Linked DNA regions of Arabidopsis thaliana. The protein of the gene in region 1 binds, or shares a complex with, the protein of each later gene. Each region holds a gene or a part of one and is shown on either strand. Other genes may lie near its edges.

The links.
Region 2: THO7 (region 1) and TEX1 share a complex: the UniProt entries of both Arabidopsis thaliana proteins name them as parts of the THO complex.
Region 3: THO7 (region 1) and THO5 share a complex: the UniProt entries of both Arabidopsis thaliana proteins name them as parts of the THO complex.
Region 4: THO7 (region 1) and THO2 share a complex: the UniProt entries of both Arabidopsis thaliana proteins name them as parts of the THO complex.

Annotation. Positions count from the first base shown.
Region 1 is NC_003074.8:664,173-668,847, forward strand, and holds THO7 (Tho complex subunit 7/Mft1p), read right to left. Parts: upstream 2,751-4,675; 5' UTR 2,617-2,750; exon of another isoform or gene 2,425-2,616; intron 2,300-2,424; 5' UTR 2,268-2,299; coding exon 1,668-2,267; intron 1,570-1,667; coding exon 1,459-1,569; 3' UTR 1,051-1,458; downstream 1-1,050. Other genes in the region: AT3G02960 (Heavy metal transport/detoxification superfamily protein), read right to left, coding at 3,073-3,359, 3,452-3,545, 3,678-3,853, 4,182-4,356, 4,446-4,454. UniProt on the Arabidopsis thaliana protein: Acts as a component of the THO subcomplex of the TREX complex which is thought to couple mRNA transcription, processing and nuclear export.
Region 2 is NC_003076.8:22,721,774-22,727,502, forward strand, and holds TEX1 (Transducin/WD40 repeat-like superfamily protein), read right to left. Parts: upstream 3,327-5,729; 5' UTR 3,293-3,326; coding exon 3,227-3,292; intron 3,131-3,226; coding exon 3,035-3,130; intron 2,861-3,034; coding exon 2,731-2,860; intron 2,419-2,730; coding exon 2,327-2,418; intron 2,217-2,326; coding exon 2,148-2,216; intron 1,963-2,147; coding exon 1,905-1,962; intron 1,789-1,904; coding exon 1,689-1,788; intron 1,597-1,688; coding exon 1,510-1,596; intron 1,426-1,509; coding exon 1,347-1,425; intron 1,252-1,346; coding exon 1,116-1,251; intron 1,017-1,115; coding exon 982-1,016; 3' UTR 709-981; downstream 1-708. Other genes in the region: AT5G56120 (RNA polymerase II elongation factor), read left to right, coding at 1-420; AT5G56140 (RNA-binding KH domain-containing protein), read left to right, coding at 3,689-3,879, 4,394-4,479, 4,837-4,982, 5,395-5,508, 5,585-5,701. UniProt on the Arabidopsis thaliana protein: Acts as a component of the THO subcomplex of the TREX complex which is thought to couple mRNA transcription, processing and nuclear export. Contributes to the integrity of the endogenous trans-acting small interfering RNA (ta-siRNA) pathway.
Region 3 is NC_003076.8:17,205,200-17,212,126, forward strand, and holds THO5 (THO complex, subunit 5), read right to left. Parts: upstream 4,452-6,927; 5' UTR 4,324-4,451; coding exon 4,072-4,323; exon of another isoform or gene 4,007-4,071; coding exon 3,716-4,006; intron 3,637-3,715; coding exon 3,300-3,636; intron 3,224-3,299; coding exon 2,886-3,223; intron 2,778-2,885; coding exon 2,530-2,777; intron 2,277-2,529; coding exon 1,685-2,276; intron 1,600-1,684; coding exon 1,465-1,599; intron 1,378-1,464; coding exon 1,111-1,377; 3' UTR 772-1,110; downstream 1-771. Other genes in the region: AT5G42910 (Basic-leucine zipper (bZIP) transcription factor family protein), read left to right, coding at 1-12; AT5G42930 (alpha/beta-Hydrolases superfamily protein), read right to left, coding at 5,539-5,790, 5,919-6,402, 6,526-6,661. UniProt on the Arabidopsis thaliana protein: Acts as a component of the THO subcomplex of the TREX complex which is thought to couple mRNA transcription, processing and nuclear export.
Region 4 is NC_003070.9:8,739,550-8,745,146, reverse strand, and holds the start of THO2 (THO2), read right to left. Parts: upstream 3,208-5,597; 5' UTR 3,084-3,207; exon of another isoform or gene 2,997-3,083; 5' UTR 2,938-2,996; coding exon 2,803-2,937; exon of another isoform or gene 2,707-2,802; coding exon 2,581-2,706; intron 2,471-2,580; coding exon 2,429-2,470; intron 1,939-2,428; coding exon 1,879-1,938; intron 1,313-1,878; coding exon 1,250-1,312; intron 1,044-1,249; coding exon 963-1,043; intron 910-962; exon of another isoform or gene 697-909; intron 610-696; coding exon 538-609; intron 471-537; coding exon 423-470; intron 317-422; coding exon 248-316; intron 161-247; coding exon 27-160; intron 1-26. UniProt on the Arabidopsis thaliana protein: Acts as a component of the THO subcomplex of the TREX complex which is thought to couple mRNA transcription, processing and nuclear export.

The DNA.
Region 1 (4,675 bases):
AGGAGACAAAAGAGATGTATAGTAAACAGATGGTAGCATTTAAAACGTCATTGTACATCTTAAACGTCATTATATCACAATTCACAAGCAAGATTTATAGTCTCAACATCATTTCGATTTTAAAACAAATACATACCAAATATTTATATATATATATATTTAAAACTGTGGTGAAATAATGCGGAACAAACAAGACAAATACTGTATGCTAAACGTGTTCAATGTGGACACATCAAAATTTAACCTAATATGATGAATTCATATGATTAAAATGAATTAGAACTAATTTGTATCATTGAAATCGATCGCAATTATATAGATTAAAAACTACAAAGATGCTCTCATGAGAAACAATTCGAAGTTAAATTGAGTTTGGCTTAAGTTCGGAATCACTGGATTTCTATCCGAGTTAATCAAACAAAATTTATATAGTTAAATACTTTGCTTTTCTGTTTGATTCAGTTTAAAATAGACACATTGCATCATCAGTGGATCACATTTTCTCAAAAGATGCCACCTTCTTTTAATGGTAAGGTGGAATATTTTTGGAATATATTCGTATGTCTAATCTAAAGTATAACTTTAGTCTTTAGAGTCAAAGCAAAAAGATAACATTAGAATTTCTAGTGTAAATTAAACACTCAAAGTTAATTTTTAGTGTTTAAGATTAAGACAGGAGAGACTCAAGTAAAATAACGGAGAAACGTGTGTTAACATACGAACACTAATGCTGCTCAAATATTTCTCAAGAAAATAGAAACCTACAATTACGACAATAAAGCCTATTTGGCTAGTCGGTCGCATTATTATTTTTTATTAATAATTAAATATTGCCAAAAATCAACATTAAGCTTTGCTTGTGGATATCGATTTGCATGAAATATTCATTATGCAATCACACTTGTAAAAATTATTCTCGACACCGAAAATAGAAACCGCACCAACCAAAATTAGACTACATTTTTTTTTTTTGGGGGCAAATTAGACTACATCTAAAACACACAAAAACCTCAAATGCAAAACCATAAATATGATCGGGCAACCCAAACCTATCGAACCAAGTCAAAAGCGGAACACTGTTTAATTTCTAATTTCTAAGCCGGTTCAAAAGCAAACCCGTCACGACGTAATTAATTTATAGTAAACCACCTCGGTTTAATTGAATCAACAGTTCAGCCTCGGTTTGGAGTAAAAAAGTACATTACCAAGAAATTGGTATTTCTTAACCGGTTATACAAACCATAATTTCTTAAACATCTGCATTTTACAATGATACAATCTTTCTTGCATCTGCAAATTTGAAAGAAACAATCTTTGTTTCTCAGTTCTTCTATCCGAATCACAGGTTTCAGTATACTGAGCTGCCGCAGTTTTGGTTAACATAGGCATATCAGAAACAGGAAACAGATGACAAAGCAAACGCTTGAAACATGATGCAGGTTTTATCGAGATTTGGACTTAATCAACAGACATAGCGTCGGTTATGTTCCTCTGATCTTCCGACGCTGACCGAATCTCGTCCACCAAACTCTTCTGCTCATCTTCCATTGTGTTCTGCAACTCATCCACCTACATTCCCAAAAACGTTCACAATCACAAACTCAAACTTCAAACATAGATCACGTAATGAAGACTGAAACGTAAAAGGTTCGGTTTTTTGACATTACCACATGCATCAGGAGAGCAAACTGCTTCTTCCTTAGCTCAAGCAATCTCCAACTTGCAGTGCTCTCTGCTTCAAGCTCAGCAATCTCCTTGTTCAATTCATATATAACCTTCTCTGTCTCTGACCTTGGCGGTTGCGCAGAAATCAGTTTCCTTATCGTCTCACACTCTTCTTTATGCTGTCTATCTATTTTACTCTCCTCAAGCTGCTTCTTTAGATCTTCAATCTCAGCTTTCGCCTGCATTATCTGCCTTTCCGTCTCATCTTTCACCTCATTAAAGCTCTCTTTCTCCCTAAGGTTTGCTTCCACAACCGCTTGGCTCTTCAGAAGCGGAATCTCGAAAGTTGACAGTTCCTGTAAAAAAGCTTTGGCAAGTCTACCGCAGTCGTTATAGTTCTCTTCTTCTTTATCCACCTCGAGTACAAAAGAAGTGAACTTCTTCTGAAGTTTCTTCAATGGAGGCTCGCCTCGAGTGGTCGTGGTTCGGGTTAGAAGCCGGTTTCTTATGATTTTGTCATCGTCAACAGGATCAAATGCATAATTAACCTTAGTTACTACAGTCTCTAATCTACCAGAAATTCTCCTTGCTTTAACTGACATCTCAACTTACTTAAAAACCTCTTAATTCAATCCTGCAAAGGCAATGCACAAACAAAGAACATTCAACAACCAAACAATCTTAACCTACAGAAATAAAGCTAAGGGATACATATTCAAGCTTGGATCTAAATAGCAGAACTGAAACATAAAGTATTACCATTTACGCAATAAATCTCTCGATTTCTTATTCTCTTCTTCAATTTCTCAATCAAACTTAAATAGATTTTCATGAGCATTCATCATCAAAATCTTAACTGTTATTTCATTGATTCGTAAGCAATTTCTCAATCGTACCATTCGAACACAATTTATGGTACAAAAAAAAGCAAAAGGTTAACTCTTTACTTACTTGAAGTGACCCCAGATCCAGATTCGTCTTCTGCTATCAAAAATTGAGCAAAACAGGTCCCTTTTGTTCAAATTTTGATGAACCCTAAAAATTGAGACAATTCATCTTCGTCCTCCCTTGTCTTTTTCTTTTTGGGTTAAATGCAACAAGTACTCTCAACTTATATTATATTACAAAATAGACCCTAAGTTATTAAAATATAATATATACCCACATTCTTTTTTTTTATACTCTAATGCCCTGTTAATTTTTTTTTACAAATAATTGTACAAAAGGCCCACAACTACAAACATAATCTAGTAATCGAGTATACACATGACACCAAATCTTACTTTCATAAAGTGTCACTCAAAAATTAAATTAAATTAAAATCTATTGAGATATAGAAATGTGTAGCAAGGAAATCAAAACCATAAAAGATAACTTAAAAAGACTCTAATTTTACGGGTCAAAAAATCACATGATTGAACAAGAATGTACATTTTCGTCGCTAAAAATCTGAGAGGGATAAGCATGTTGAGATGAATACTGAGGAGGGTAACTAAAGATTTTGTTTCCATCACTTTCTTCCTTCTTATTATTGTTCTTCTTATTATTGTCTTTGCCTTTCTCTGTAATTTGACTTAGAAGCTCTGCATGTTTCCCAAGTTTTTTCTTGATTTTCTCCACAAGTTTTGGAGGATCCATGACTCCTCGTACCACTACCGTTGACTTTGACCGGTCTGGTTCCACCGATTGAATGCCTTTTAATTTGTCAAAACAAACAAACATATTCTAAGTTGTTTTTTTTAACTTTCGATATCGTATTATTTCTATATGTATATACAAAGATTACCTTTTATTTTTTCAATGCCTCTTTTGATTTCATGAACACATCCTTCACAGTGCATGTTCATTCTTAAAATTGCAGTTTTGATCTCGGGAGCACTCTAAAATCATGCAAAAAATATTTAGAAATGATTAGATATGTTAGTTGTTATTCTCAGATTAATTAGACAAGGTATGATATAAATGAGAGTATATATCTAAGTTCTAACACGAAATAATTGGAAATAACTTACTTCTTTCTTTTGCTGTGGCTCCTTCTGATCTTGTTTAGGGTTATGTTTTGGGGAAATCATCTCAGCATTTCTACTAAATTTCTTTTGCACTCTTCGTAATATCTTCAACGGATCATCAAATTTTCCAGACACAACAACTTTATTGTCTCCTATCTCTGTCTTAATATGCTCAACCCCTATAAGACAAATAAGATAATAGCTACTTATGAGTCATGAGTAAGAAGAAAAAAACGGTAATCCTATTTTTTAATTGATGCTTTAAGAACTAGAGATTACTATTCGTTATGTCATTGTGGGAATTAATAGACAACTTCTCTAGATTACAGGAAAGAAAAATAAAACTGAAACCAGACTAGATAATGCTTAAGTTAAATTATAGTACAATTTCACTCAATGATAAATGATTAAATATTTGACATTGATTCTTATGATCGAGACCATATATATATGATTCCATTAAAGAGGGAAAGTAATCTAATAATGTTTCTTTTAATAGAGTATTACCATCATAGCCCCTCAAGCAATGAGAAACTTGTGATGCACATCCTTCACAGTGCATGTAAACCTTCAGAACAATTTCTTTACATTGATTTTTCTTATCAGACTTATCGACTGATGAATCTCCATTTTTCTGGTTCTTCTTTTCAGACTTGTTGTCTGATTCTCCATTTTGCTTGTTCTTTAGAACCAAATCCAAAACACAAAATATAAGTTCACATAATTTACTTAACAAATTACTGGAATTACCAAAGACAGGAATGCACATACCTTTCCCATATCAATGTTTACTCCTTTGTACGACAAGTGCAATGAAAAAGTTGAATAGTGAGACTCGATATATATAAGGTCAGAGAGGTTTTACGATCAATTAATTATTTCATTTGTAACATACATAAAATTATTTACTTCTCAATCTGGATGATCCTATTTGTTTACAATGAATAATAATTCTAATATTCACTAACAGGATTGATGACAAAGAGACAAATAATTTTGTA
Region 2 (5,729 bases), on another chromosome or scaffold:
CATGGGTTCTTCTTCACACTTGTCTACTCTTCTTCTTGTTCTGATGATGCTGACGTGGTGAAAAGTAATGCGGTTTGCAAGAAATGGTGGATACCTTCTGCAGTGTCATTAGCTACTTCATTGGTTCTGGTGTTTCTTGTTCAAGCTAAGCTGTTTGTGTTCTGGAAAGTTTACAGAGGTGTTAATAGGGAGAGGAATGATAATAGAACGCTTACACGGTGTGTTTTGGAGTTGAGGATGAAAGGGTCGAGCTTTGATTTGTCGAAAGAGCCGATGAGTGGGAAGAGGATGAAGAGTTCAAGCGTTGAGATCAAGTGGAAACCTGTTACTTGGTTCTCTCAGTATTTGATAACTATTGTTCTTCTTTGCTCTGCAGGGTTGTTCTTCCCGGTCTCAAAGTTCATCCTCTGCGGATTTTGACAAACTCTTCCTATTCACTGTTTGTTCGGTAAGCAAATCGTGTGCTCTTCTTGTTCTTTAATCCAAAATTGGACTCTCAGTAATAAATGTGTTTTCTTTCTCAGGACTCTGCATTCTTTCTTCAACCTTCATTGTGGGGATGATGCTTTTGGTCCGATCTTACCATTGGCCTCTGTTCTAGCTTTGAGAGAGTAGCTGTCAAATCTCCCAGACTGAAGATTCGCCGGAGGGAATAAGAACAACCTGTAACTTTTAGCAGTACTCACACATAGTAGAAAATTGATGTAATTCGGGATTAGAATTCTGATCTTGATCTTATTAATTTCATTCTTCGTTAATAATAAACAACATTGCTTGTATAGTAACAAATTTTTGCAATAAATAAAATGCCAGATTCAGAACTGCAAACTTTCAATGTATTTAGTGATACTGTAAGATTATTCCAACTTGATATACTGACAATACATATTTAGGTACACTAGGCACATAAACTTTTTCTAACTCAACAAGGAACAATCAAGTGGAGTTGTGTATCATGTTTCCCGATTCAGTGCTCTGTTCCTACGAGCTCTCAAAACCAAATATCCGGAAAACACCTGCAAAGAGATCCAAGTTGTTGTCATTGTTCATTTTCTGCTACCAATATTAGAGTTTTGAGTTGTTGCTAACAATGAAGTACTAATACGCGGTAGTACCTTCATCAGTATTATACTTGGGATTCTTGTCATCACCTGCATATGCAAGTAAATTGTATTTGGGATTCCACTCAACACTGTTCATGGCTGCCCGACATGGAATCTGATGCACCGTCCGCCCGGTTTGGACATTAGCCTGTTTGGTAGTTAGTGGTCAGATACGAGGAACTAATCTCATATTGAGGAAACTACATTGAAATTAGCAGTGTTTAAGTCTGGGCAATCACTTACAATATCAATGAATAAATCTTCACTGGCTGAAGCAATATACTCTCCCGAATAGTTGAAGCTTATTGTTCTGACTGGCCACCTGTGAGAAATAGTTATAAATTACTAACATGTAACAGAAATTAAACCTTTTTCTACTCTATGGAAAATTCATGTTGATACTCACTCAAGTTTGGTAAATGTTCTCAAACAAAGCATGTCTGAGATATCCCAAAGGCTTACTAAGGAATCCGCACTCCCGACAGCAAAATATCTGTTAAGGTAAAGAGGAAGAATTAGATGCAAAAGCAAAAAGATTATCATTCGTGTCTCAGAGGCCAGCCCACAAATGTAAATATATATTACCTCCCTTTAGGATCAATTGCAATACAATAACACCCGGCTGTGTGGGCTGTGAGAGTGTCAAGTGGTTTAAGAGATGGATATGAAAGAACTTCAACAGTGCCTGAGCAGGACAACATACAAAGTAACTTTCAGTAAGATCATTTTCTCAAGTTCAAAAACAAAGAAATCTTTGGTAGGGAATCGTGTGCAGGAAAGTACAGAATTTAAAATCCTCACCAAGTCCAGTAGTCAAGAAGAAAAAATCTCCAGGCATGTTCCAAGCAATCTCATTAACCTGTTACAAGAAGACAAAAGATAAGAGAACATTCCATACGGCACCAGAAAATTACTTGACGATTATTACATGAACAAGGAACTTAGGTGACATATAACCGCATGAGCTTGAAACAGGAGATACGGAAGAGCCTTATAAAAAAAAAGCCATTAATAAAGATTAACATGAGTCTGAGCTTACGTTACCTCATAATTGAATTTGCGCCTGTGTAGAGGTTTAAACTTACGGACATCCAGAATTGTAAGCTCATCATCCTACATTGGCCAGTAAGAGAAAGGACAACGACTATGAAAAGGGATCTATCAAGTAATCCATAGACAGTAAGAACAATGAAAGTGTAAAGATATGGGGCTCGAGACAATACCCTATTACCAACAGCTACATGTGTCCCGTCAGGTTTGTAGGTGATGTTTATATTCTCTCCACTAAGTTCTACCTGCTGTGTGCATTTTCCACCTGTAGAACTCGAAGAAGACATATCTCAGCAATTGATAGTAAAACATACAATAGTAGCCACATATCAAAAACCTGATCAAATTCCTCTCTTATGGAATCTGGCTAAATAACTAATTTATAATTCTAAGAAACTTAGATCCGATCCTCATCAATCAATAGTCTCCGCGATATGACTCAAAAGCAAAGGCCAAGATTGCGAGAAATATTTGTGAATGACACATAGCTAATCCATTAGAAAATATACAGATTTCTAAACCAAGCTCCAGGCATATTTCAGGAGCAAAACTAAACGATTAAAAGAATATAACTTACTGCGAGCATCCCAAAGACGAACGCTTTTATCACCAGAGGCAGTAGCAACAAGATCTGAATGTTTGGGATCCCAACATAGCTGATCCACACTATCAGTATGACCCTTTAGCTCAAGGTCCTTAGCCTTGCTCTGTATCCACACACCACACAAACAACCAAATTACAAAAACTACATAACTCAAAAAGTAACAATGACAAAGATAATAATCGAGTTTTAACTCAATCTACAATACTTCTCCATATGTATTCATCATCATCAAAAACACATAGAAGTTCCCATAGCTCAAAAAGGTAAAGAAATTACATGACCGTGTGGTTCGATATTCCAAATGCGAGCCGTTTGATCAACAGAACCCGAAGCAAGCTTTGTTCCATTCGAATTCCAAGCTACTGAATGTACCTTCAATCCAAAAATTCCCCCAGATTCAGCAAAAAACTAGGGTTTCGCAAGTTTTATTGAGTACAGAAAATTAGACTGGAGATAGAAAAAAAAAACCTTCTTCTTATGACCTTGATATTCTCTGCTATGTAAGCTCTTGAAAGGAATCGTCGTCTCCTCCATTTTTTAATTCTCAACTCTTCTTCTTCAACCTTCCTTCGCGGCCTACTGAATATCAGAGCTTCGCTTCCTGAAACGCAGCGTTTAGTCATTCCGGTATAGATAAACCGAATCGAATTTTAGTAAACCGGATGTAAAAAACCTTCTAGATGGTTAAGAGTCTTCAGAGAGAAACTAACAAGAAGAGCGGTAAAATTGGGTAAAATATGAAACAAAGAAAAAAGGTGAAAAAAAAAACAGCTAAGCAAACAACAAGTAATCATTTCACAGTCTCTATAAAATGACCTCTTAAATCCACCGACGTTATAGAGAGACAACAACAGCTTTGGTTCTGCCTCCGCCGCTTCTTCTTCTTCTTCTAATCTCCGACAGATTTACTCTGATTCTGTTGTCTTCGAGATGATGATGATGTCGTCGCTTGGTGGTGGTGGTGGTGGAGGAGGAGGAAGTGGTGGTGGTATTGGTGGTGGCGGCGGAGGGAGGTTTATGACGTATTCGTCGTCTCTTTCGGTGCCTCCTTCTGCTCCTCAGTCTCCTAATTACTCCGGTGGTCTCCGATCACAGTCTTCTGTCTTCGTTGAGCAAGAGAAGTAATCGAATCTTAGTTTTTCATCTTCTTTTATATTTTTGTTTTTTATTGTTTGGTGATCTTTTATAATTAGCTGATGTATCTGATGAAGTATGTTGATCTTTGCTTTGCTGATTTTGATTTTTAGATCTTAATAGTGTATCTCGAATCTGGATTTTTGTCTTTTTTGTTTTCTTTTGATTATATTAGGATCTATGTTTCGGAACTAGCTCAGTCTATTTCAGATTTGTCTCAATCCAGTTCATTTTTTGTAAAGCATAAGTCTTTAGTGTGTGAGGATCATTTCATTGGTTGTGTTCGTTTCTGTTATTGTTGATTTCTGTTCTTGGCTGATGAAACTGTTAAAAAAAATACGATTTTTGGAAGATTGACTAGATCCACTTCACAAAAGAATGGAAATTTGAATCTGGTTGTATCGATTTAGAGTGAATTTGAGTGTATCTGTTTGTAAGTTTGATGTGTCTTTGAGGCTTTTTTACTAATTTGGATACTCTGCACAATTTCTGTTTTGGCAGGTATCTTTCAGAGTTACTTGCAGAGCGTCATAAGCTTACTCCATTCCTGCCTGTGCTTCCACATGCATTTCGGCTACTAAACCAAGGTGAGCATTACTGTTTTTGTTGTTTATTATTTGTATTTTCATCTCACATAATACTTCATTCTTTGCTTCAGATTCATGAAGCTATAATACAGTTGATAAACTCTTAAACAGTACTGCTAAGAGAGACCTAATTGTTAGCTATTAGAAGTAGATCACGAAATGACTAATTCTATATTTCTTATACTGACTTCATTCTATTTAACCAGAGTGTATTTAACTAGAGTGAGAGCAAAAATATATTTTAAGCTAACTCAATTAACTATGCTGTCTCTCCATTCATTGGTGTCTTGGTGACTGATTTGTTGACTAATTCTAACTGGTGCGTCTTACTCTTGCAAATTGACATTTTTGGAACAGAAATTTTGCGTGTAACCACACTGTTGGAGAATGCTACAGTTTTAAGTCAGAGTGGGCTTGACCACCCTAGCCCTCTGGCTTCTGGAGGGATATTTCAGAATGCAAGAGCTGACATGAATGGATGGGCCTCCCAGTTTCCATCAGAAGTATGACTACTAACCATTAACATAACTCTCTAATTCATACTACTGCAATAGAAGTTTTATTGACTTAAGTTATAATACTGACATAACATATTTGACTGCTTTTAGTCCTAGTTTATCATGACAGGTAGGCTAACACTTCATATCCGTAATGTTTGTATGTTCATACCTTAGATCAACACTAATTAGATACTCCACTATCCTCACGAGTAGGATTGAAATTAATGCTATAATTTTCTCATATATCTGTGGTCACTGTATGCATATTATTAGGATATAACAGCTACAGGTTGAAATGCCTTGATACAGTGACCACTCTCATTGAATGAAGTTCCAGGGCAAGAAGTTGCAGTATTCATGTGCTTATGCTTAAAGGTTGATCTTGCTTCTAATTTTGTTGGTTGATCATTTGCAGAGATCTGTTCCATCATCTCCGGGACCAAATTGGCTTAACTCACCTGGTAGTTCGTCCGGTCTCATCGCCAAGCGTACAATCAGGGTCGATATTCCAGTCGACAATTATCCGAATGTATGAACTTTCATTTCTACACTGAGATATACTACTTCCTGGTTGGAATGTAACTCCTTAATTTTCTATATGGCAGTTCAATTTTGTTGGTCGCCTCCTGGGTCCTAGAGGAAACTCCCTGAAGCGAGTTGAAGCAAGTACTGATTGCCGTGTTCTTATAAGAGGAAGAGGAAGTATAAAAGATCCAATTAAGGTATTTATTATTAAACTTTACAACTTCA
Region 3 (6,927 bases), on another chromosome or scaffold:
GACATCAAGTGAATCAATGAAACCCGAGTTGGAGGATGATGATGAGTTTATTTTGTTCATCATGTTTTGTTTTCGTATATTTTTGACCAAATAAGCTATTTATTAGACATCTTATTCTTAAACCCATTTGATAATGTCCTAAAGATCGAATTCTCATGGTCTAGGGGAAAATCCAAAACTTATTTTTATTGGAGCCAGAAAATACTACTATTAAATATTATTATTTTGGCTTTAGAAAACAATGTCATACTAATCTCAACCATAAAACTATAAAATTATATTATAGGCTCAATAATTGCTGCTAAATTTTTTCACTATTGATTCATTTGCAATATACAAAAATAACTCCTATAATAAATCAAAAAAATTCAGTGTTGATTCATTTGCAACAAAACACGAAAAATTTCACTGTCTTTTGTGGTTGGCTTTGTTCTTCCTGGGACATGGGAGTGAATTTAGCAAATCGTGGTTCCTCTTAGGTCTTCGTTCATGCCTTTGATTTTGCTTTGTCTTTTTGATATGTAAAAATTTACGTTTGACAGTTTTCCTGTAATTTAGGGATTCGCTTCCTTCTTTTGGATTAAGTTTTTGGGATGTATTTATTTTCCGCCCGCTCTTGTAATTCAAACTTGCATATTTCCTTGGTAATTGTACTTAAATAAGATGACAAAAAAACTAAAAGTTAAAGTAAATCAAACTATATAATCACTTGAAAGTTATAAACTAATATCCAATTTGATTTGGTTTTGTTTTCTTCACTACCTCCAATTGCAGGAACAACATTTGTCAATGATTGCAGTAGCAACCTGTAATAACGGTTGTCTACGAGTTGATTCCTTTTTTTTTCTCCAAAACCTGTGACGAGCCCTTTTTCACTTTTCTAGTTTCCAAGCTACCCGCTAGGCTTTAATGCTTAAATCGAGACCAAAACAGAGCAGGCTAAAACGGATTGGACTTGAAACATTGCCAGGTTTAAAACAGACCAGGTCCTCACCCAACAAGTAGGCTGTTTCAATAACGGTTTATACGATAAAAAAATGTTACATGCAAAAACTTTTGCTTGTACCACCAGAGAAAGATAATATAGAGAAGTGAGTGGCGATGTAATCTCTAGCATGGATAACCCGATGCACATCCTCTGCCCTTCCATGAGATCATTTTCCGGTGATCTCTGCCTCTGAATGATCTCACAAGAAGCTTACCGTCAACAGGCTTGCACAAACCGACATCAACCACAGTTGTGGCTGTTCCTCTTTTGGAATCTGGAGATGGGTCATCCACGTAATAGTCGAACAACATTGCTAAGCATCTGATTTGATGAGATAGGAGATAGTTTTCTTGATCTGAAGGAATAATCTTCAACATATGAAGGTTCACCTGATACCGCCACGAAAAGGTTACAAAGGCGTTATCTTTGGTGTCATCGAGTAAAGATTAGTATATGTTACTGGGTTTGACACTTACTTCTGCTTCCATTGCTCGAAGTTCATTGTAATGGTCACTTTCATTTGTCCCATTTTCATTTCCTGATGAAGAAGATGCGTGGAGAGACAGAGAAAACAAAGGAGGTCGAAGAGGATACTCCATGCTAATTTGTACCTGCCAATACAACTCGATTTAACACTTAAGAAAGAAAAAGATATAGGGAAGATACCGTATTAGAAGATAGTGTTTTAGAAGTTACCATTGCTTCTAACTTCCACAACTTTCCGCCATCTGTTTTCCTGGAGAACACAAGCGCAAACTCTCTCGAACCATAATCCACCCATGAATTATCAGCTTTCTCAGGGCATAACTCTTCCACATGCGCCTCAGTTCTTCCGGTTGGCTCATCTATTTCACTATCATCGTCCAGAACAAGATCCAAATCATCTTCGTATTTCTTGAAACTTGGGGACTTTCCTTTGCTAATCGGAGAATCTAGATTCTTTGTCATCAAGGCCAACTGCCTTGACCGTGCTTGATTAGATACTTTCGATGGGGTATGATTGGAACTGGTTAACGAAGCAGCCGCCGTGACCAAAGAGGGAAGTTCTCCATCTTCCCGTATACTTTCAAAATCTTCTTTTCCAGAAATAGATCTTCCATCTACATCGATTTCCATAGGTTCTGGAACTTGTTCCACACTGTTCAGAGTCAGAGAGCATGACTTACTAGCTGAAGATTGTATATGTAACCAGGAATCCAAAGCACAGAGAACCTTATGCAGTGCCCAAGGAGCATCTTCGCAGTTCACCACTGGTAACTCATGTTTCATAAGCAAATCAAGCTGTTCCCTGTAGCCAGTAGAAGTTTCCAAAGTATTCAGCAAAAATAAACATATCAACAGAAATAATTACCTATAGAAGCTCTTATCACGAAGTTGACAATGCTACAGAGGGATTAAATTGACCGCCAAGTTATTGACAAACCCAAACTATTAAATGTACAAACCATATGCTGATTATCATGGTGGTCTACTAATTTTCTGGAATTCTTTGCATCGTGTTCTTTAATTAAGACGGAAAACATACAGAGTGGTGAACTCACGCAAGAGCCAGATGCGCTTTTTTCCGCAAGCGTATTCTTCGCAGAACTGTTTGCACTCTATGCTGCTGGCGATACAATGAAAGATCAGGCACAAACGTATCACTTTTAGCTGGGTCAGTGTTATGAGCTTCTTGGCCTAATAAAACCGGTGAAATATCAATTCCCGCCAAATGTTGTACCCATTTATAAGGCCTTGAAGTTCTGTTCTCATCAAACGTCTGACCATCACCAAGGATGAGCTTGGTTGACTGCATGGAAAACCGGCCATATAAAGAGAATTGAGTATGCATTTTTAAAAGTAAAGCCATCAAAAGTCACATGTAGAAGAAAACTGAAACACAGAAACAAAAAGTTACCTGATGAGGAGGCTCAAGTCCAGCGTCATCTGGAAACAAGTTACAAAATATGTTTTTTTCTGGTCCATCCTGAGAGCCTTCAGCGCCAACACATACAACATTCAACTTCAGCAAGTACTCAAACTTGAGAATGACAAGTTTCAAGGATTTTGTATCTGGTATCTCATCATCATATATGTGAAGGACAATTTTGAGAGGGTGGACTTGATATAATCCTGCCTTGTCAGAACCTTCTTTGCTAGTAAGTTTCTTGGGTCGTTTTCTTCTCCTTTGTCCATCATCATCGTCATCAGGTCCATCATCCTCCAACCTAGAACTCTCTGTATTACTCGACATACCTGAAAAACCAATACCAAATTAGCATTCTTTTCGTTTTAGTATTAGAAAACACAGTAAATTTTCAAAACAACTTACCTGAGTCCTTTCTGGATTGTTGTCTAGCATAAGCTTGAGCATCCTTAAGACTCCCAACTACCTCCAATTCAATACTCTCCTCAAAAGCTTCCTTTTGTGCCAAGAGCTGTGAGTATAGAACATAAAGCGGAGGAGGAAGCAGCTCAGCTAAATTATGCTGCTTCAGTTTCTTTGTGTGCTGTATACCCAAGTGGTTCTGTACTGGAAGCGATGCTTTCTTCAGAGACTTAAGGTGTAGAGGAAGACTCGACAAAAACTTCTTACGCTCCGCAATGGTTTCTAATAAACTCTTCTTCTGTTGCTCCAATCTCGCTCGATGCTTACACAATTCTTTCCTCTGAATCAAAAAACATAAAAAGGTAATGAAACATTATATCACGTTGAATGAATTTCAGAGATGGTGATGATTAACCAACCTGATGAAGCTCAAAATTGAGTCTCTTAGGCATCAAAACATGAGAACTATCACTTGAAAGCGATTGATCTTTGATAGCTTCAGGAGCATGACGAAAGAAGTCTTGTTCAGGAACAAGGTCAATATCAGGATACTTAGATTTGAAATCTCTACAAGCCTTGATAGCTTTAACGTAATGGCTCTTCTCATACATAAGATTATGCAATTGCAATGTCGTGAAATCAACAGGTGCCTTTGCTCTTTCCGTCTCCGCTTTCACTTTATCTTCCTCAGTCAAAATCGCCCGATTCGCCTGCGAAAAAAACCCTAATAAGTATCGTATAGCGAAAGAGGTGGAGGGAGAAGATTGGTAAGTACCTGACGAAGATTGACGAAGTTGAGGAACATTTGAGTGAGGAGTTCTCGAATCTCAGATTTGTGGTTTCCTTGTTTTTTCATGGAGAGCATCTTCGCGACGATTTCTTCTACGGAGGTTTTGCTCTCTCGAAGTAGCTCGAGTGGAGATTTTCCTGGCTCTCGGGGAGGTTGTATAGTCTCTATGGTAGTTACTTCCGGCGTCGGGAATTCGTCGGCAGTTACCATTCCTTCCTCTATTTCGCCGTCCTCCATTCTCGATTTCTCCAGTCAGGCTCGCTCCGGTACTTCTGACAGGATTTATGATTTTTCTCTTCTTCTTTTTTTTTGTTCTTTGTTTTTTTGTCAAACTATTTATGATTTTTATGTAAACTATATTTTGTTACAAATATTATATCTACTCCATGATGGGATGATAATTGCGTAAAAGAGATTATGTAACATTTTTTTTCAGAAAATTCTGTATAAAGACAAGAAAAAATTTGGTTTGATATCAAAAATATTATGTAAAAAACACCAAAAAGGAAACTACTTGATAATTTTGGTGAAGGAAGAGAGAGACATATCAGATATGTCGTGGTAGAACAGAGGTTTGATCAATCAAATAGCCTTCTATGGTACGGAAATTTTATTGAGTTGTAGCTAAGCCTTATAACTAGATTTACCACTTTGCGGATTTGGATTTGAGTTAATATTCTAAAAGTTATCTGTGTTTTCGTAAAGTCCTCTGTTTCAGACGTGATTTAGACCAGAGTGTATTAAACAAATTATCTCGAGTGCACCTGCGGTCAGATCATCACTAAACTTTGAGGTTAGCTTCAGGACATCTTGAGGGTTGAGTTTCAACGGTGGAGATTTGAATTGGACGGTTAGATTGCGATTCGTGACTCAATATTTGAGACCAATTGTTTGGGTTATTTTCAGATTTTTTCCAATTTAGGTTAAAGGTTGGTTTGCTGTTGTAGTTGGATGTATGGTGAGTTGAGATATTGTTGGTGAGTAGGAAGTTACTGCTCGTTGTGGGATTGTTGTTTTTGGTTTCAAAATCATTCTTGTTTCGAGGTGGGTATGTGACCATGAGATTATCTAAGCAATTGAGATTGTGTGATTTATTTGTTGTATGTATAGGCAGTATTTTTGGTACCATTATTCAATCCCCCGAGATGGTTGTGTCAATGGATGATTGTTCATTGGTTTGATTTATTTCATGATTTATTTGTTGATTGTTATATTGGTTTGCTTGTGTGTATAACTCGCAGGTAAGAGAATCGTTTCACTAAGTATTTATTGAAATATTTATGCATTTCTTTTCTTGATGCAGATAAAGATAAAGTGAGACGTAGAATCATTGCGAGAAAGAAAGGATGATCTAAGGCCAAAATAAGAAAATAACACCTACATCACCGAAACGAGACCCTAGAAAAGCTAAACACATCAACTTTTCAAAAGAATTTATGACTTCGTCAAAATTTAATCAAGATGCGAGTCAGGTAAGTCACCTAAAAGAGTAACATTGATGTACTCATTAGGGAAGTGAGCAGGTAATCCAGGAATCAACAATGCAACAACCCTAAAACACCTTAAGAACCATCCTTCTCTGAACTCTCCACCTTTCCAATAAGGCATGACGAAACTACGTATCAACTCCCACAGTGCATTCATTATCTTTGGTAAAACCCATACGAGATTAAAGTAGTTTTTGTTTGGTTCCTCTTCCTCTACCTGAACATAATACAAATTAAACAACAACAATGTAGATAGATATCATCAGTAGGGTAAGTGCGTAAGCGACATTAGACGGATGAGTGATTAAAGCAAAGAAACAAGATTGTCATATATATGCAACCAACCTTTCCTTTATAGAAACTGTCATAGTAAAGGCATGCCCCAAAGTGTTTAAACATGAGTGTTTTGTCGTCGAAAGGCAACCTAGGAACCATGTCGTTGCAATAAACATATCTTTCATACTTCACGTCAAACTTCTTTAGTGAATCTTTCATGAAATTTCCAAACTCCTCGTCGCCTACGCGTGGCTGTCCAAATGTGTAAACTCCTTCTAGTCTCTCTAGCATTTGCTCCTCATCATGCATCACCAAAACAGCCGTGAATAGGATCGCTAAAGCCCCACCTAGGCTATGTCCGGTCAATATAAATTTAGATGTCGGGTTTTGGTCGAGGATTTCTTTTAAGTGACGCCTAACAGTGTAGTATGCATATAGAGTTGTTGCGTTTTGGGTTTCGTCAAGGTTTACTTCTTTAGGCCATCCTTCTTTTTGAAGGCCCAAAGCTTTCATGAACCCGCCATGAATCTTTCCCACATTCTTAACCTCGTACCTATTTTGGAAATCAATACTAGTTTTATTAGGGGGGCTAAAGGATGAACTTAAAGAGTATAAAAACAAAAACCTAGACTGTTTGTGTGTGGAAATAAATTATAACAAAAGAAACTAAAATTACCAAGAGAGATCCAGGTCTGTACACCAATCATCGGCATCGAAAGGATCAGTGCCTCTGAAACTAACGATGATGAGGTTTGGATCTGTACTTGTGTCCTTTATAACAATCACCTCCGTTGATCTTTGTTTCTGGTAACCTAAAAACCAAGGAAGAAAAAATAAATTAATTTTTTTTGTTTATATAATATAAATAGAAAAATGAATTTGATCTTAAAACTGTATATGAAAAAAATGAAAAAAAAAACTGTATATGAAGTATTTTAGGAAAATTTAAATTCTAGAGAATTTGAGGTTATTGTCTCTAAAAATTTTAAATATTTTAGCACACATAGACAACTATTTAAAAGATACAAACATAAAATTTCTAGTCGTAATTTTATGTTTAATTTAGAGGCAAAAAGGT
Region 4 (5,597 bases), on another chromosome or scaffold:
AAACAGTTGAAGAAAAAACTACTCACATGCTTTCAAGATTGATAAACTCTTCCTTTACTAGCAAGGCTGTAAGCTTATAGAGCCCAACTGGAACAGGGCTATTCACCTCTAGTCTCTGATAGTATTGGAATTTAAATCCAAGAATTTGTGAAGCATGAGACTGCACATGAAAATTATTTTTTTTAGCAAAAAATAGTCTCTTGAGCTAAGCATTAGAAGATAAAAATACGAGGAAGACATTCCAAACCTTGGGAAAGATAGGAATTAGATTGAGAAATGTGTCGTAATCTTGTTCGAGTTCAAAGCAATCTAAAACCTATTCATCAAAAACAAAGGGTACATTATTACTAATCGGGAAGGACAGATTGATGCGTTATGCAATATCAAACAAAAATATGACAGAAGCAACAGTGAAAACTTACAATGTCGAAAACACGGTTTGGATCCAGGTCAAAATGCCCAATTAATGACTGCAAGAAAATATAAAGTTCAGAAAAAGTAAATGGGCGAAATATAATGTATTGGCCGAATCAAAACCTTGATAATTCCCATCGTTGCTGCTGATGCATTGTGCGAAGAACTTGCAGATCCTCGGCACAAAAGAGTGGCCTGCACTCCACAAAAAGGAACTGCTATAAGTTGGTGTATGTATAATCTGACTTAATCGAATCTCTACTGAGATAATATGTTCATTACTCTGCACAGTTATAGGTAATAAAACTAGCAGAAGATATGCCTTCCAACTGGAACCGTGTGAAAAGGAAAGGCCAAATCAGCATTGTTGAAAAGATCATCCCTTCCAAAAACTAAAGGGGTATTCCTTAAAGTTGTGTTTCAGAAAAAACAGAAGTAAAGAGTATCTAAGAAAAGACAATAGAAACGAAGTGGACAGAAAGAATGACAATAGATAAAAAAAAAAAAAAAAAAAAAAACTAGACTGCTAGAGATCTTCTATAACGAACCAATTTGGCATATCCCTCGCTTTCTTCACGGAGTAAGTTGAACTTTGTCTGCTGGTACAGAAGACGAGTGTTTAATCGCACCTGAGAAGCATCAACCAGAATTGTTACTTATAAACAATGAGCAGTAGTTACACAGGTAAAGTAGAAATTCTTATAAGCATTAATCTTTCGCAATAGCAATTCACTCAGAGTAACTATTACGTAAATCAGAGCACAGTGCAGCTGCATTGATGACTAAAGTGTGAAGTCATATTAATACAGCAGTTACAGAAGTGTGAAGTCCTCACCTCTTTCCCCTTCAAATCTTGGGCCTTTATTTTAACCATATCAGCTTCCCAGAGAAACTCCTCCTAAAATAAAATAAATAAAACGCCTTCAGAAAATTTTCTTCTTACTGATCAAGAAAATAGAGAGGTTAAGTGGGTGGGGTACAAACTACTCAAATTGGGAATAATAACAAACATTTTAGGACTTGCCCGCTCCTATCCTTTACATCTACAGCAAGAAGAAGAGGGCTATTCCGTGAGACCAGCTGGTCCACTGGATCTTTGAGGACAATTCTTCAGTCTTAAGGGATTAATGTGACATTCGAAACAGGCTACAGCCTTGAAGTTAACTTCTATAACTACCTTAGCAGCTACAATAACTATTATTTAGCAGTCTCTATCTATCACTCCAGACTTGTTCAAGCTACGGTTTCTATGATGGGCAGTAGGATTGCATGATGCACATGCTATATAGATGAGGGGTACCAGTGAGGGAGTTATCGAGAACTAGTGAAAGGTGGAAGGGGGGATAAGAGGGGACTCTATTAAGAAACCTCTCAAAGCTGTATTTTCTTGTTTTAAGTTCTATTAATATAAAGATTCTCTACGTATTACTCTGTTTCATTGGCTGAACGTAACATAATGTTTACCTCGCAACGCTCTTGGAAAAGCCTTTGAGGGACTGTCTGTGATTCCACAAGCCATTTCGCCTACCAAAAAAGAACAATTGGTTCATTAGCTGTGAGCATAGAAACCTTGAGGAGATGGTAAATGAGAACAGAAAGAATATTTTAAGGAAGAAACTAAAGTACGCAATCATCAAATTCAATAAAATAAGACATATGCTAACAACTCCTCTGTAAGCAGCTCATCAGAGAACATTGGATCAAGCATACAAGGAAAATTCAATACCAAACTACGCTAATAGATCATCTAAGGCACTATGGTCAAAGTTTCAGCTCCTTAGGATGAAGTAGCCTTTTACAATCAGGAACTTTCTTGCAACCTGCCCAGGATGAGCCATCGGTTGGTTGAACCTTAGGACACTACTGATAGCTATACACCACATGCCTAATCTATTCATAGGATGTTACTTTTTGTGATCACTAATATCTAAAGAGCTAGAATTATCTTTCCTCAAGACTAACAAATCCAAACAATGATCAATTTTCAAAACGTAAAATAAATTCTAGCACTCACCAATTTGATTAGACGAGAACGTTGATCTCCCGACATGGTAAGCTGCAAAACAAAGCAAAGAGAACACGAACCCAATCAATCCAACGATCAGTATCAATAACCTTGCACAATCATCTCTGAGCTAAGGATGTCAAAACTGTAATTGGACTTACGTCTTGAGCTATCTGAGTCACAACATCCGCAAAACACGAAGCTAATTCTTCTCTCGATGGCTTATCCAAAAACTCCACACCTTCCAACACTGCCTTACAGCTCTGAATTGGCAATTCGCCACGAACCTAATAATCCATCACGAGGCACCGTTGAGGAACTCGAACAACATATACGCGTGATTGGATAGTAGTAGGAAGAGAAGGTGGTGTTTGTGTGTATACCAAAATCCAAGAGAGCTCGTAGAGGAAACGAAGCATCGGCACAGAGCTGGGCAGCTTGGTTCCATAGTTGCCATTCTTACCTTCACGAACAAACTCCTCCGTCACGTACTTACACTCCAGTAGCGGAAGAGACATCTTAAACCCCTTTCGTGTGTATGTATGTATATCTTTCACTCTCCTCCCTTTTCGAAACCCTAGAAGATTAAGAAAATAGGGTTTAGACTTCGATTGGCGACCAGAAAATAAGCATTCCGATAAGATGAAAAGGGAGAGGAACGAACAATTTTGATCAGAGAAGAAAAAGAGAAATTAGGGTTTTTGAGAGATTATTTGATTTGGTGGAAGTAAATTGAAGACGATGATGATGACGGTGTGAAGATGATGCAAATATGTTTTTGATTTTGCAGAAGAGGGGACTATTCTTTTCCTTTTTCTACTACTTACCGATTTTGTTTTTCTGTCGTCTTTTGTTTCAGCAAATTATGTTGTATACAATTTCAATACAAAACCGGGTCCGGTTAAGTCGTATGATTTTGTTTTGAATGGGCGTGAAACTATGAATTGGTTGTTATTGAACAAGCCCATGGGCTCAGATGATCTTTGAGTCCACCACGATACTACTAACAAGGCAATTAGGCAAATATCGAATTAAAAATGTTAATTACATCTTTTGGTCCTAACAGATATAAACAAATAGAAAGCAACGAGTACAAGTACTAGCTAGTAACATACCAAATTAACTAAAATATGGAAACCAAAACCTAAAAAATTTCTCAGCGTTCTTCGCTCCATTCCCGTTTTCAACCAGAATCGTTAACTACTCGGGACAAAAAAACGATCAAAGAAAGTCAGAAAAGATCCATAAGCAATTGAAAAGTTGATCCAACTTACAGTCATCTTCTCCTTCTTCTCCTCCTCGTCCTCCTTTGCTCAAGAAACAACAACAAAAGAAAACGGGTCGGTTTGACCAACGTTATTCGAAAGCTATTTGTTTTAGGTCTGGCCTGTTTATAAACTCATTATGTTAAAATCTAATCCGCTAAAAGTCATTTATAGTTAAACTTAATGTGCCTGTATTGGCGCGAGGGCTGCTGTTATTTTGTTATGTTCAAATCAGTGCTTCCAAATTGCCTCGTCTAGAATTAAAGAATATGCTTAGAAGAATTTTTGTTATATATTAAACATTTTGGTTTTTGTTAGGTTTTTTGGATCACTTATAATTTGTAATGTTGAATTCATTTGTTTTTTTTTATTAGTCAACCAGACTTTCCGACATTATCTATTATTAACTACATGTTTGTGTTTCAGTTTAACTAATTTATTAAGGCCATAGGAAAATCGTCAAATACTAACCACACGAAATAACTATAGATACTGTACTTTGGTGTCATTAAATTCAAATTGGAGTTTCATATTACCCGAAAAATGAATCGTTTTATAATTTTTATGTTAGTTGTTGCGACGTATTTTGGATTGCTTGTATCAGTTTTGTCTTGTAAACGTAACACAATTGAAATTATGAATGATCTTGGTCCCGGTTTGGTTCTCTAGTATCATCGTCATTCAAAAGACGACAATTTAGACGTCGCAAATTTACAATTCAAGGAACTAAAACAAATCCGTTTCGGAGACATGTTTGGAAGAAGGACAAGATGGACTTGTCTTTTGAAACACGGCTTATACATGCGATATTATAAAGATTTTGTAGCATATAGAGCAGCCAACATTGATCGATGTGATGCTCTACGTCGTTAGATTGCTAGAAATGATGGAATTTACCTTGTGAGAAATAGAAATCCTCAACCAAAGTTCCATCATGCATGGAATAAAACTAAGTAATGTTGATGAAAATACTATTTTTGTTGTCTTTACAATTTACGTCAACATTCTTCGTAACCTAAAAAAAAAAAAAAATCTTCATAACCTAGGGTTATAATTTATAGCAAATCAAATATGTATCCATTATATGGAAAACGAATACAAACTACTTTTCCGATCCAGACAAACAGACAGTGTGTCGTCTTTTTTAATTTTTTTGTATTAAATCTGATTAGAAATCAAACAGTATAATTATGTTAAGTGCAAGAGACAAAACCGTGTCTGTTTTAGCCCAACAGTGTCACCCGAAACAAATCCATTCCTAGGAATATAGAAAGAAAATTAAAACAAACAAAGAACAATTTAGAAAAGACACCAATTAACACACAACACAAAGACAAATCATAATTAGGATGCTTCCATAAGATAGAGAATTAGGAAACAAGAAACGTCCTCTTTAAGACAACTGTTCTTCCCTAGCTCCGAACTCCTCGATCATCATGTTCTTGTTCATTTTCGCGTGGATCTTGGAACAGTTTGCAAGGCTTGAGCAAGCATGAATTAGGTCCACCAACATTCCCAGTTGAAATAACAGGATGCTTTTTTGAGATCACCACGGAGTTGATAACATCATTTGTTGGGTGATAAATAGACAAAAAAAAAAAAGTCTTTTTCTTTCCTTTTTCTACTACAGACCGATTTTGTTTTTCTGTCGACTTTTGTTTCAGCATAAAATAGAAGAAATTATGTTGTATACAATTTCAATACAAAACCATGTCCGGTTTAGTCGTATGATTTTGTTTGAGTGGGCGTTAAACTATGAAATGGTTGTTATTGAACTAGTCCATGGGCTCAGATGATCTTTGACTCCACCACGATATTACCAACAAGGCAATTAGGCAAATATCGAATTAAAAATTTTAATTACATCTTTTGGTCCTTCTAACAGTAACAGATATAATAAACAAATAGAGCAA